Linked DNA regions of Saccharomyces cerevisiae S288C. The protein of the gene in region 1 interacts with the protein of each later gene in a biochemical or structural test. Each region holds a gene or a part of one and is shown in the gene's direction. Other genes may lie near its edges.

What was found. Proteins that work in one complex are often made in the same cells at the same time.
Region 2: of the proteins of ORM1 (region 1) and YPK1, one has a biochemical effect on the other in vitro, tested with the Saccharomyces cerevisiae proteins (2 studies listed by BioGRID).

The regions. Positions count from the first base shown.
Region 1 is NC_001139.9:555,908-566,736, forward strand, and holds ORM1 (sphingolipid homeostasis protein ORM1), read left to right. Parts: upstream 1-4,774; coding exon 4,775-5,443; downstream 5,444-10,829. Other genes in the region: 60S ribosomal protein uL24 RPL26B, read left to right, coding at 401-765; YGR035C (uncharacterized protein), read right to left, coding at 1,165-1,515; YGR035W-A (uncharacterized protein), read left to right, coding at 1,658-1,879; CAX4 (dolichyldiphosphatase), read right to left, coding at 2,242-2,961; long-chain fatty acid transporter ACB1, read right to left, coding at 3,824-4,087; YGR038C-A (gag protein), read right to left, coding at 10,238-10,829. UniProt on the Saccharomyces cerevisiae protein: Component of the SPOTS complex that acts as a negative regulator of sphingolipid synthesis. Acts by inhibiting serine palmitoyltransferases (LCB1 and LCB2) activity.
Region 2 is NC_001143.9:203,707-207,306, forward strand, and holds the start of YPK1 (serine/threonine protein kinase YPK1), read left to right. Parts: upstream 1-2,000; coding exon 2,001-3,600. Other genes in the region: phosphoglucomutase PGM1, read left to right, coding at 1-1,547. UniProt on the Saccharomyces cerevisiae protein: Plays an essential role in the proliferation of yeast cells. Involved in a signaling pathway, required for optimal cell wall integrity, that acts in parallel with the PKC1-SLT2-dependent pathway.

The DNA.
Region 1 (10,829 bases):
AAGAGAACAATTAATCGAATAATGTTAAATTATTGTAAAACAATGTGTATGATGAGGAGGAATGTACCTAAGCCAAAAAAAAAAAAAAAAAAAAAAAAAAAAAAAGAAACAGCTTTTGCATATTCAATCCAGGCATAGGGCGACTATTTAGCACTCAACGATTTTTAAGCTTGTGTATTGCTGACATAAATTCCGGCTTTAGAATCCAATATTGAAAAACGTGAGTACGCAGAGGAGATAGAAGAAAAGTAGGAAGTTACCGTTTATATTGATTTGTGAAATGCATACTCCGTTGGATGTGGGGCAACATAGATTTAAGTGTGGATGAAAATTATGTGCTCATTGTGAAAAAAAAGTTTTGCTTTTACTAACAAATTTTTTTATTATTTGTTTTCAATAGACGTTTCCTCTGACAGAAGAAAGGCCAGAAAGGCTTATTTCACTGCTCCATCCTCTGAACGTCGTGTTTTGTTATCTGCTCCATTATCCAAGGAATTGAGAGCTCAATATGGTATCAAGGCTTTGCCAATCAGAAGAGACGATGAAGTCTTGGTTGTTCGTGGTTCCAAGAAGGGTCAAGAAGGTAAGATTTCATCTGTTTACAGATTGAAGTTTGCTGTTCAAGTTGACAAGGTCACCAAGGAAAAGGTCAACGGTGCTTCCGTTCCAATTAACTTGCACCCATCCAAGCTTGTTATCACTAAGTTACACTTGGACAAGGACAGAAAGGCTTTGATCCAAAGAAAGGGTGGTAAATTGGAATAAACTAGCTCGACTTTAACATAGATCATACAAAAAATACAATAAATAAATCCTGTGTTTCTTTTATGTATATTTTTTATCAATTTCAATTTAGTTTAGTTTAGTTTCTTTAAAAATAAAATTGTAATTTCTCACATTCTGCCTTCGGGTCTCAAGGGCTGGTTGGTAGACGAATGCGCTTGTTTCTAGCTGAGCGGCAGATGCATGAATTCAATGCAAGAAAATGAGAAAACTTCCAATATTAAAATGTGATTGTTAATTATTAGTATATTTATGACAATATATATATGTACATAGGGTGATTATGAAGATGAGTAAGATGCGAATGGATATGAGGATATGAATCTTTTTAGAGACAATGAAGATGCAAAGAAGTAGTTAAGCACATTGACCTCAGGGTTGCTATATGCTACTTTTAGTCCGTTGGATTTCTGAAGCAGTATTGGCCACAAAAATTTCTTCATTATTTCTACGATTAGAGTTTCTTCTGGATTTTTCTCGTCCCTGAGACTTACTCCTTTTCAAGTCATTTTCAGCAGCAGCTTTGATTAAATCATATCTTGTGATTTTACTTGGAGAGCTATTGTGATGGGAACTTTGTCTGCATGTGACTGTATTAGTCAGAGATGTTATGGGCTTAACCATAAGGGAAGAAACTATGGCACGCATGAATGAATTACTGCTTTTACTGCTGTCATCTGTTGAGTTTGCTGAGTCTTCCGTTCTTGTAGTCTTGGCTGGTGTGAGTAACATTACGTATTGTTTCTGTAGAGAAGATAACTTATAACTTCCGTCTTGTCACTAGTTGTTTTAATTATATGTTTGTTACAAGTTTTTATGTATAGATATATGTTACAACTTTTAGAAGTATTGTGGACATAACAGAGAGAAGGGAATGTTGCTATATTTATATATTTTATATATTGCCCTCAAAACTGTATCTCATCTTTTTTTCTGCAATCCTTGCTTTCGTAATCTAAGTGTGGGTGACATGCTAAATCCGCGGCTTTCCTTAAGCTTTTTCACAAACCATCTATTATGTCCAGAAGCTCCGCTGATTATCCGTGGAAAAGGGTCTTATTCTGCCGTAGGAAACTTCTTCTCGAGAAAAAAGTGAGTTCACCCGCGGCGCTCTCGTAAAACCCGAGGGCCGATTCTTTCCCTCCGTGGAACAATCGGCCCCGCGGCGTCAGAGGGTATTATCTCCGCAAGTGATAGAACTCACATTTATTCTACGTTCTGCATGGTTTTGATTATCTTCTTTTGCACGATGTCACATACTTTTTCGATTACCGTCGCTTTACACAGTAACTGTTTAAAACGAGCGTTCTTAATTAATAACTGTAGGAGAGCAGGCTTTCGGCTTTCTTTATGAGAAATAAGGACTACTCCAGCTTGCCAAGTTTTATCCAGTTACACAAACGCTCAAGATCGCCTCGCTAAAATAGATGAAAAAATAAGAAAAATGAAATGTTCAACCTAATCCCTTTTGGATTTATCATTGAAAGATCGCTGATTTATTCTTTTCCAATACGCCTCGTAATTCTCTTTCAATGTCAAAGGCGCCAGATTGTAAGAATCTGTCATGTAAAATAATCTGACAATACGTAGTTTTAAAAACCAATTGATTAAACCAAGCTCTCTTATGATGCCAACTATAAAAAAATAAAGTGATCCAGTCAGTGCCCCCACGCTGAATCCCACGATTACTTGATCTAAATTGTGGTAGTGCAAGTAAACTCTGGAAAAGCAAACGCAAAACGATAATAAAGCCAATGCACCAGAAAAAATGCATTTTTCTAAGAAGTTTAGATTCTTCCAGGAAGTGTATATCTTCAGAGAGTTATAGGTAAAACAAAACCCCATGAATTGGGAGTGTGCACTGGGCATCCCGTAACCGGATCTTATAGTGTCATTTTGGAACGACGCACCGAACGATACGGGGCGTGGCTGTTTTATTATATTCTTGATCACGTTATTGAATATTTCGTTCATCAATTGGCCAAAGGCTACAATGCAGGCTTCTAACTCTCTTGTGATGATAAACCACGACAAATAAAAAGCTAGCACTAGGATGGGCATCAGCGAGAAATATGCACTAAGGAATGATAGAAAGTCATGCGAATCATAGAGAATGTATGTGTCATCGAATGGTATAACATTTGGATTTGGATTTATTGCAGCGGCGGTACTATTCATGATATGATCCGATTCAAAACAAATTTTGATGTAGATAAAATGCCTGGTATAATGAGTGGTAGAGAAGAAAATTAGACGAAAAGAATGAGAACGAAGAAATGATTTAAAGTGATCACAGTGGCAATCACTTTCCCCTTTTTAACGCGTGTTGAGCAATCGATTGATGTCTCTACCATATGTAGCATTTTCTCAGAAGGCAAACTTTTCTTTTTCTTTCTACTTTTCCAACAAGAAATTTTAAGTTTTCCCAGAAACCCGAATTCTCCTATTTCATCCACCACGTAAGAACGGTTTTCTTCCTGGCGTAATTAAAAGCATAAAGAAAAACTGAACAAGCTCTAGATGTAGATCAGGGTATACATGGTGCGCTTCAGTAAGTGTACTGTACCACTAGTTTGGCGTCTGTCACTTGAATTGCGGATTTGTGTAGAGCAATGAAAGCGCTGCTTCTGCCGCCATCAAAAAAAACTGAGTAGTTATTAAAGCCTATGTATGACAATATAAAAATGTATACAGATCAGTCTGTATATAAATCATGAAAATATCTTTAAAAATTTCAAGAGCGTGTTTCCGCTAAACCTTGTCATATTCAACACAAATCAGTATCATTCTCGGCGTAAATTACATGCGAATCTCCCTAATTGTGATTCAATATTCCAGCGAACCCCGAGAATTTAAATAGAACAGAGTATATGCATTTATTAACAGTTATTACGCCTTGTCCCCAGGGAGAGTAGTAAGGGATATGGGCATTTATAAATGTACATAAGTCACGTTTTTGCAGCCAATAAAATATAATAATAGAATAGTAACAAGGAAAGCTAGGCCAAAACTCCTTACATGGAGCTAGTATACCCCTTTTCTAAGAGGAGTACTTGGCAATCAGTTGATCAACAAGGGCAATGTATTCCTTTTCGGCATCTTCCTGGGATTTACCTTTTAAGTTTTCCCAGGCTTCCCACTTGTAGCGGTCCTTCATGTTGAAAATACCAGGCTTTTCCTTGTCGTTGTCACCTACAGTGGCTTGCTTGTACAGAGCATACAATTCTAATAATTCATCAGTGGAGGGCTTCGTTGGTAGCTCGTTGACGGCTTTAGCTTTTTCTTCGAATAATTGGGAAACCATTTTGCTGAAAACACTAGTTTAACTAATTTTAGAGTTTTAGTCTTCCTTCTTTTGCTTCACACAGTGAAATGATGTACATAACGTACTTGCTTCCGAGACAGACCAATTGATCCAAGCTAGCTATATATATGGCGGTCATTGGGGAGTTGGCCTGGAGCTGTTGAGTTTGCGGACGTGTCAGAGAGCGCGTAGGGCCGCCAGCGCCACCTGTCTTCAGGCACCAAGGCCGTAATCTCTTCCGACGGTCATTTTTTAATGGAATGTTTCAATACGAGAGTTTGTGGCATGTAGTTTAGGAACGGATTATAGAGAATAGTCGAAATATGTTTAGTCCCTACACAAATTGCTAGACTACCTGTTTCGAGTTTCCTCTATTCCTTTGCTAACGGAGCTGCGGTATATAAACCATCGTAGACTCAAAGCCGTTACCCGACAACTATCGGGTATAGTGAAATGCCTATGTTTTCACTTTAAGACCTTAGAAAACTATCATGAGATCTCGCCTTCAGATGCAGATATTTCAGTGGATTCACGAAACAAGAAAAATTCACTGATCGATAACATCTTCCTTTGCTTGATATTCCCTTTTTGAATTTCCCTAACTACCTTTTGTTGTTTACCACATATTCTCTAAAAAGCAGAGTTATTCTTATTTTGTATTTCATTGCATTTTTATCCATTTAGTTAATGACCGAATTAGATTATCAAGGAACTGCTGAGGCGGCTTCTACCTCGTATAGTCGAAATCAAACGGACCTTAAGCCGTTTCCTTCTGCAGGCAGTGCATCTTCATCAATTAAAACGACGGAACCTGTGAAAGATCATAGAAGAAGGCGTTCTTCCAGCATAATTTCACATGTGGAACCGGAGACTTTTGAAGATGAAAATGACCAGCAACTTCTACCAAATATGAATGCTACTTGGGTAGACCAACGCGGCGCTTGGATTATTCATGTGGTCATTATCATACTGCTGAAACTATTTTATAATTTATTTCCTGGTGTTACCACAGAATGGTCGTGGACTCTGACTAATATGACATATGTTATTGGGTCCTATGTCATGTTCCATCTGATTAAGGGTACCCCTTTCGATTTCAATGGTGGTGCTTATGACAACTTGACGATGTGGGAACAAATTGACGACGAGACTTTATATACTCCTTCAAGAAAATTTTTGATTAGTGTCCCGATCGCCCTATTCTTAGTTAGTACTCATTATGCTCACTATGATTTGAAATTGTTTTCATGGAATTGTTTTTTGACAACCTTTGGTGCTGTTGTCCCAAAGTTACCTGTTACTCATAGATTAAGGATTTCTATCCCAGGTATCACAGGTCGCGCCCAAATTAGTTGAACATAGTTTATTTCAATCTTGTATCTAGATGTTTTTGCTATATTTATATTTTCTGGGCCAAATCACTAACGCTTTGAAATTTCAAAAGCCAACAACGGATTTCGGACTTCATTTATGTAAATGAAAAAGAATGTGAACAAAAATTGAAAAAATTCCATATTAATGCACCTTCTAAACCTATTTGTTGAAATTGTATTTAATTCATATAATCATATTCTATTCAAAAAGAATAACAGATAGTATTAGCACTATTTCACGTACTGCTTCTAATACTATTATCACAAAATAGACATCGGAAAACTCAAAAATAACGACAACTGCAGGACTCGAACCTGCGCGGGCAAAGCCCAAAAGATTTCTAATCTTTCGCCTTAACCACTCGGCCAAGTTGCCAATGTATACATTGCTGTTTCCTGGTTTGAAGAAGCTAATCGTGCACGTAAACAACAATCTATACTACAAGTAAAAAAATGGGGAAAAAGATGCTGAAGGTGAGATATATGTGGGTAATTAGATAATTGTTGGGATTCCATTGTTGATAAAGGCTATAATATTAGGTATACAGAATATACTAGAAGTTCTCCTCGAGGATTTAGGAATCCATAAAAGGGAATCTGCAATTCTACACAATTCTATAAATATTATTATCATCGTTTTATATGTTAATATTCATTGATCCTATTACATTATCAATCCTTGCGTTTCAGCTTCCACTAATTTAGATGACTATTTCTCATCATTTGCGTCATCTTCTAACACCGTATATGATAATATACTAGTAATGTAAATACTAGTTAGTAGATGATAGTTGATTTCTATTCCAACATACCACCCATAATGTAATAGATCTAATGAATCCATTTGTTAGTTAATAGTTTAAATGTTTTTATCGGAAGAGGTTTTGTCATCACATCAGCAATGTTCTTCTTGGTCTCGATGTAGTATACGTATAGATTATTACCTGATACTTCATCTCTAAGTCTCATTGCCTTTGTGCCAAAAAATCTGTTTCTAAATTTCTCTTCATTTGTAGACTTAATTATACTGATCGTTGATCTACTATCAGTAAGTAAGCCTTTAATAATTGGTTTCTTGTTAAGTTCTTGCACAAGGTGACTGAGGTTATTCAATAGCGGAATAGCTTCACTGACTGCGTGTATTTCTGCTTCTGTAGTTGAAGTGCATGTTAACGAAGCCTTTGTCGACTTTCCTCCAATCACTTTTCCGTTGAGTAGGAAAATGTTACCAATTTGTGACTTGTAATATGGTTGGTTACCATATGAAGCATCGCTTATTGCGACTAGTTTATTATCTGGCTCGGTAGGTTTGTTTTTGTGCCATATCAGTTGTTTATCTCTAGTGTCCCACATGAATTGTATTAACTCATATGTCATGTCTAAAACTTGCCTAGAGGGGAATAGTATATGTTGAGCAAGTGTGTTGATGTAGTATAGTAAGTCAAATCTAAATTTATATCCAACATATGAAGCTAGACCAATCAACTTTTGCATTTCATGTACCTTCTCTTTGTATTCATCTTCATCTATTTCTAGTTCATCCTGGTCTATATAAAGACCTGGTTGACCTGGAGCGCTAAGTTTTCTTCCTTTTGGATTCAAAGGTACGTTTAATTTGGGTATTTTCTCAGTTAATGAGTTTTCCATACCTAATTTCATGTATTTACCTCTTTGATATTTGATTTCTAAGCCAAGTATGTCGTACTGAATTTCGTTATCACTTTCACCCAGATTTATTATCTTTGTATCGTATTGTTTCTTGAGTGTTGTTATGATTTTCTTATTTGCATTTAAGTCTTTGCTGAACAATATCATATCATCAACGAATAAGCAAATTGTTACTTGACTATTCTTAAATACGCATGACCATCCACGAACTTCTTCCATACCACACTGTTTTATCAGGTATGATTTGATAGTTTCGTACCAGTTCGCTCCACTTTGTTTCAATCCATAAAGTGATTTCTTCAAACGTATCAACTTATCATTCATTCCTAAATGTGGTGGAGGTCTTATGTATAATTCTTCTTTGATGTCTGCATACAAATATGCCGAAGATATGTCTAATTGTGTAATATAGTAGTTATTGTCTAATGCAAGTGACAGGGATGTCATTAATGCATAGTGATGTACGGTATTGGATTGCATGCCTGAGTCGTAAGTGTCAGGATGCTGAATATCACCTCTTGCAACAAATCTAGCTTTATGAGTACCGTCACGTTTCCTGTTGAAGATAAACATTGAATTTATTACTCTTTTAGGGTCTATTTCTTTTCTGTCATAATATTTGTCAGTGTCCCAAGTATTCATTTTCAATAGTTGGTTGACTTCTTTGTGGTATGCTTCGATATATTTTTCCTTTTCTTTAATATCTTTATTATAGGTGATTGCCTCATCGTATCTTAAGGTTGTCCGTATTGGTTTGATTGATTTTACTGCTTTTACAGCTGCAATCAGGTGAATTCGTTTCTTCGATCTCGGAGGTTCTAAACTACGCATATTCTTAGTATTCCATGTGTCTCGTGATACCTTAATTTCAGTTTCATTATCTTCTAATGATCTTTTCTTACTGTTGATAGTAGTATAGGCATTAGAGTCACCAATACCACCCAAACTGGAATTAGTTTGATGAGAATTTATCGGTGGGAGTTCTTTAAATGGGTCAGGGAATTCGGTAGGAGATTCTGGAGGTAGATCAGGGAGTGGGAGATCAGCGATGATAGATTCCTCGGTATTCTGTTCAGAAACAGTAGTTGGCGTTTTGATAGGAACAATATTGTGCGATGAATTATTTTCCGGTGGAGAAGCATCGATTGAAGGTGAACGGTGTATAATCCTTTTCTCAGTCTCTTGGTCACTTATCTGCGGAACAGTTTTGTTGTTGGTACCACCCGTACTGGATATTGGTACGTTTGTATGATTAGTCTCATTTTCACTGTACGAGTCTGAGTGTCTGAAATCTTTAGATTTACTGGCGTGCGACGACTCATGTGTGTTAGATTGGGACATGGGAGCAAGTAAAGGAACATTTAATTTATGCATACCACCCGAACCGGTACTCTCGATATTGGAAATTTGGGGGGTGCTAGATCTCTTCTTTGATGGAAGAATATTAGATTCAGATATGTTGGGGTCAACTTCTCTGGGTGCGCGAATATTGGTTTTAGAAACACGTTTCGAATCTTCAGTATGAGTTGACGGAGGTGTGGAATCGGTTGGACTCACAGCTTTTGAAAGGACATTTCTCGGTTGCTCAGGATGTAGTTCAATGTCGGATTGGAAGTCATGGTCAGATTCTATGTTAAGATCATTGGATTCTTGGATCTCATTTGACGCAATGAACGAATGATATGAAGCAGTTAAACGGTTTAAGTCTTCATCGAAAGTGAGTGCGTCGTAATTGAATTGATCTAATCTGGATTCCTTGCCCTGAAGAATAACATAGTTAGTTGTATCTACTGTCTTCTTTAAGGATGGAAGATAGATGATATATCCATAAGAGTTTCGAGACGGATGTAGAGCGTAGCCTGGGATGCCACGAGGATGTATTTTGGAGTTAGGGTTGTGATCATTGACGATAACAGGTTGACCGAAAGGTAACAAAGTACTGATATCAAGTCCTGCCAAGCCAGCATGTTGTCTTGCAGATTTTTTGCTTTTAGGTGAAGCTAGTGAATTTCTCACAATAGTAGAAAATTCGATTGCAGAGAACCATAAATGGTTCGGTAAACCACTACATTGCAGTTGAGTACGGCAGTCATCTAATAAGGTACGGTTTAGCCGTTCAGCGACTCCATGTGCTCGGGAATCCGCTGTGGTTGTATAGCATGGAGTTATACCATTTTTTTCAAGGAATTTATGGAGAGTTCTGTTAGTATACTCAGAACCACGGTCCATTTGTATAACCAAGACACTGGCCTGAAACTGGTTTTTAATAAAAGCTAGTATCGTAGTAAAAACATCGAGGATAGAGTCCTCGCGACGGTCGTGTAATGGATAAACCCAACGGAATTTTGTTGTCTCATCAGTAAATGAGATGAAATAGGATGGTGCACTATTTGGTAGGTTGTGAACTGGACCAAATATGTCAGTATGTAGGTATTGAAAGGGTTCGTATGAATTTTGGTATTTTAGTCGTGAACCTTTGATATGTCTGTGTTTGGTGCTTTTGCCGATTAAACAATCAGGACATTGATAGTCAATAGCACTAGACCAGTCGACATCTGATTCGTTAAAATACGTGATGGTGTTATTTTTAAGTGAGTATCGAATTGTCTGTGCATTGGCATGCGCAAGCATTCGATGAATGAAAGGATAAGGATATTTGCGTGTACTTTCACTTGTATGGACATTATTGATGGTGGGTACGGAGATATTTGATGGAAGCAAGTACTTTTTAGATACCCAGTAAAAGTCTCCATATTTTACGATAGGTGCAAGTACAGTGCCGTCAGATCGTTCTAAGACGTTTTTGGTAAAGCATGCTGTGATATCTACTGCAGCCAATTCATTCAAACTGAGTAAGTCATAGGCTATGTTAGGAGTGTGCAATACCTTTATTGATGTTTTGGTGTTGTCCTGGAAGTGAAATTGTAGGTCACCAATAGCGTTAATTGGTATATTTCTTTTTTGAGCATCAACTACGTTTATGCCAGGATTAGATGATGCTGAGTGTATGTGGTGAGCAGATCTTATAAGGGTTCGTGATGCTCCTGAATCGAGAAGGAGGTGTCCAGGGAGTTCATCATCAGAATGATTAGTGTGATTTACCGTAGATTCAGTAAGTTCCTGGCCTAAGATGAAGGTCGTGCTTATTGTTCAATTGAATCGGTTCAGTAGTTGATTTACTGATGGAATCGTTGTCCGTGCTGGGAGAGTTATTAGATGTGGATACATTGTGAGCCCTGGCTGTTTTCGATTTCGAATTATTTGTTTTTTGAGGATTCCGAGCTATAACTTTGGGTTTGGTTGTATTCGTATAGCTGCGAGAATCATTCTTCTCATCACTCGGATTTCTCCTGTAATTAGGTTTGCTGTTTCTCGATCCCTGTTGTTCTTCATAAATAGCATGGATATCTAAGAACAGTTCAGCGACTGTCATATTTAGATGTCGATGACGTGTGTAGCGTAAAAATTTATATTCGCCAGATAGACCTCTCATAATTAATTGGCATGCGACCTTGTTATTGATATGAATGCCATTATTGTTCAGTCTGTCGATAATGTTTGTGACTTTTGTTTCAAATGCATCTGCAGGTGTACTGCCATTATATTGCAAATTTGCCAGGGTCACAATGTCGTTTGCCTCTTGGGTATCAGATTGCATTTTTTCAATACTTTTGGAAAGAATTTTCATGATATCCGTATAA
Region 2 (3,600 bases), on another chromosome or scaffold:
CTTTAGTTGTTGGAGGAGATGGTCGTTTCTACAACGATGTTATCATGAACAAGATTGCCGCAGTAGGTGCTGCAAACGGTGTCAGAAAGTTAGTCATTGGTCAAGGCGGTTTACTTTCAACACCAGCTGCTTCTCATATAATTAGAACATACGAGGAAAAGTGTACCGGTGGTGGTATCATATTAACTGCCTCACACAACCCAGGCGGTCCAGAGAATGATTTAGGTATCAAGTATAATTTACCTAATGGTGGGCCAGCTCCAGAGAGTGTCACTAACGCTATCTGGGAAGCGTCTAAAAAATTAACTCACTATAAAATTATAAAGAACTTCCCCAAGTTGAATTTGAACAAGCTTGGTAAAAACCAAAAATATGGCCCATTGTTAGTGGACATAATTGATCCTGCCAAAGCATACGTTCAATTTCTGAAGGAAATTTTTGATTTTGACTTAATTAAAAGCTTCTTAGCGAAACAGCGCAAAGACAAAGGGTGGAAGTTGTTGTTTGACTCCTTAAATGGTATTACAGGACCATATGGTAAGGCTATATTTGTTGATGAATTTGGTTTACCGGCAGAGGAAGTTCTTCAAAATTGGCACCCTTTACCTGATTTCGGCGGTTTACATCCCGATCCGAATCTAACCTATGCACGAACTCTTGTTGACAGGGTTGACCGCGAAAAAATTGCCTTTGGAGCAGCCTCCGATGGTGATGGTGATAGGAATATGATTTACGGTTATGGCCCTGCTTTCGTTTCGCCAGGTGATTCTGTTGCCATTATTGCCGAATATGCACCCGAAATTCCATACTTCGCCAAACAAGGTATTTATGGCTTGGCACGTTCATTTCCTACATCCTCAGCCATTGATCGTGTTGCAGCAAAAAAGGGATTAAGATGTTACGAAGTTCCAACCGGCTGGAAATTCTTCTGTGCCTTATTTGATGCTAAAAAGCTATCAATCTGTGGTGAAGAATCCTTCGGTACAGGTTCCAATCATATCAGAGAAAAGGACGGTCTATGGGCCATTATTGCTTGGTTAAATATCTTGGCTATCTACCATAGGCGTAACCCTGAAAAGGAAGCTTCGATCAAAACTATTCAGGACGAATTTTGGAACGAGTATGGCCGTACTTTCTTCACAAGATACGATTACGAACATATCGAATGCGAGCAGGCCGAAAAAGTTGTAGCTCTTTTGAGTGAATTTGTATCAAGGCCAAACGTTTGTGGCTCCCACTTCCCAGCTGATGAGTCTTTAACCGTTATCGATTGTGGTGATTTTTCGTATAGAGATCTAGATGGCTCCATCTCTGAAAATCAAGGCCTTTTCGTAAAGTTTTCGAATGGGACTAAATTTGTTTTGAGGTTATCCGGCACAGGCAGTTCTGGTGCAACAATAAGATTATACGTAGAAAAGTATACTGATAAAAAGGAGAACTATGGCCAAACAGCTGACGTCTTCTTGAAACCCGTCATCAACTCCATTGTAAAATTCTTAAGATTTAAAGAAATTTTAGGAACAGACGAACCAACAGTCCGCACATAGAATTATTGGTCTTGAACAAGCACTAATTTTCCAAAGATGTTTTAACTGATCTTAATTTATATGTAGAGGATATATGTAGTATATCTATTTTTTGCTGATTGACTTATCAATTAGCTTCATAATACAACATTGTTTTTGTTTTTCGTTACTCGCGACTTTCTTCGCGGCAGAGCCGCGCTACAGGAAAACAAGATCAAAACATGCCCCTATTGGAAGGCTTAAAAAATGCTTATCCCGAACGAGCCAACGGTAATCAACACTATCGTCATACCAACAACAGTTGAGTTATTTTTCGCTCCCATACTTTTTAGAATTGGTTTGTTTGTGTTTGGTTAAATTTCAAAGCCTTTATATTCTTTGATATAGATTACTCTACAATTTCTTTGTATACAGCGGGAAATTGACACTTCAAAGTTCCTCTCATATCAACAAACATTAATACAGTTCCTGAAAATGTATTCTTGGAAGTCAAAGTTTAAGTTTGGAAAATCTAAAGAAGAAAAAGAAGCCAAACATAGTGGGTTTTTTCACTCCTCTAAAAAGGAAGAACAGCAGAATAATCAAGCAACTGCGGGGGAACATGATGCTTCAATTACTCGTTCATCTTTAGACAGGAAGGGCACGATAAATCCATCAAATTCATCAGTGGTCCCGGTTCGTGTTTCATACGATGCATCCTCATCGACCTCTACTGTACGAGATTCAAATGGTGGTAATTCAGAAAACACGAACTCATCTCAAAATTTAGATGAAACAGCAAATATTGGTTCTACAGGGACACCCAATGATGCCACCTCAAGTTCAGGAATGATGACTATCAAAGTATATAATGGTGATGACTTTATTTTACCTTTTCCGATTACCTCAAGCGAGCAAATATTGAATAAACTATTGGCCTCGGGTGTTCCACCGCCACATAAGGAGATTAGTAAAGAAGTAGATGCTTTAATTGCACAACTGTCCCGTGTTCAAATAAAGAACCAAGGTCCAGCTGATGAAGATTTGATCTCTAGCGAGTCAGCAGCAAAGTTCATCCCATCTACTATCATGTTACCAGGGTCTTCGACCTTAAATCCCTTACTATATTTCACCATTGAATTTGATAATACAGTTGCAACTATTGAAGCAGAGTATGGTACGATCGCTAAACCTGGTTTCAATAAGATATCTACCTTTGATGTGACAAGGAAATTACCTTATTTAAAGATTGATGTATTTGCAAGAATTCCGTCCATTCTTTTGCCCTCGAAGACATGGCAACAGGAGATGGGTTTGCAAGACGAGAAGCTACAGACCATTTTTGATAAAATAAATTCCAATCAAGATATACATTTAGATTCTTTCCATTTGCCCATCAACTTAAGTTTTGACTCTGCAGCTAGTATTAGACTATATAATCACCACTGGATCACATTGGATAATGGCTTGGGTAAGATCAATATTAGTATTGATTATAAACCTTCCAGAAATAAACCTTTGTCCATCGATGATTTCGATCTTTTGAAAGTTATCGGTAAGGGTTCGTTTGGTAAAGTGATGCAAGTCAGAAAGAAAGATACACAAAAAGTATACGCTTTGAAGGCAATCAGAAAATCATACATTGTCTCTAAATCCGAAGTCACGCATACTTTGGCAGAAAGAACCGTTCTAGCACGTGTTGATTGTCCATTTATTGTACCTTTGAAGTTTTCTTTCCAATCACCGGAAAAATTATACTTTGTTTTAGCGTTTATCAATGGTGGTGAGTTGTTTTATCATCTACAAAAGGAAGGAAGGTTTGATTTATCACGTGCCAGATTTTATACCGCAGAATTGTTATGTGCGCTAGACAACTTGCATAAACTAGATGTTGTCTATCGTGATTTGAAACCAGAGAATATTTTATTGGATTATCAAGGCCACATTGCCCTTTGTGATTTCGGGCTATGCAAATTGAATATGAAGGATGATGATAAGACAGATACTTTTTGTGGGACCCCAGAATACTTGGCACCAGAACTATTGCTAGGTTTAGGCTATACAAAGGCAGTAGATTGGTGGACATTGGGAGTCT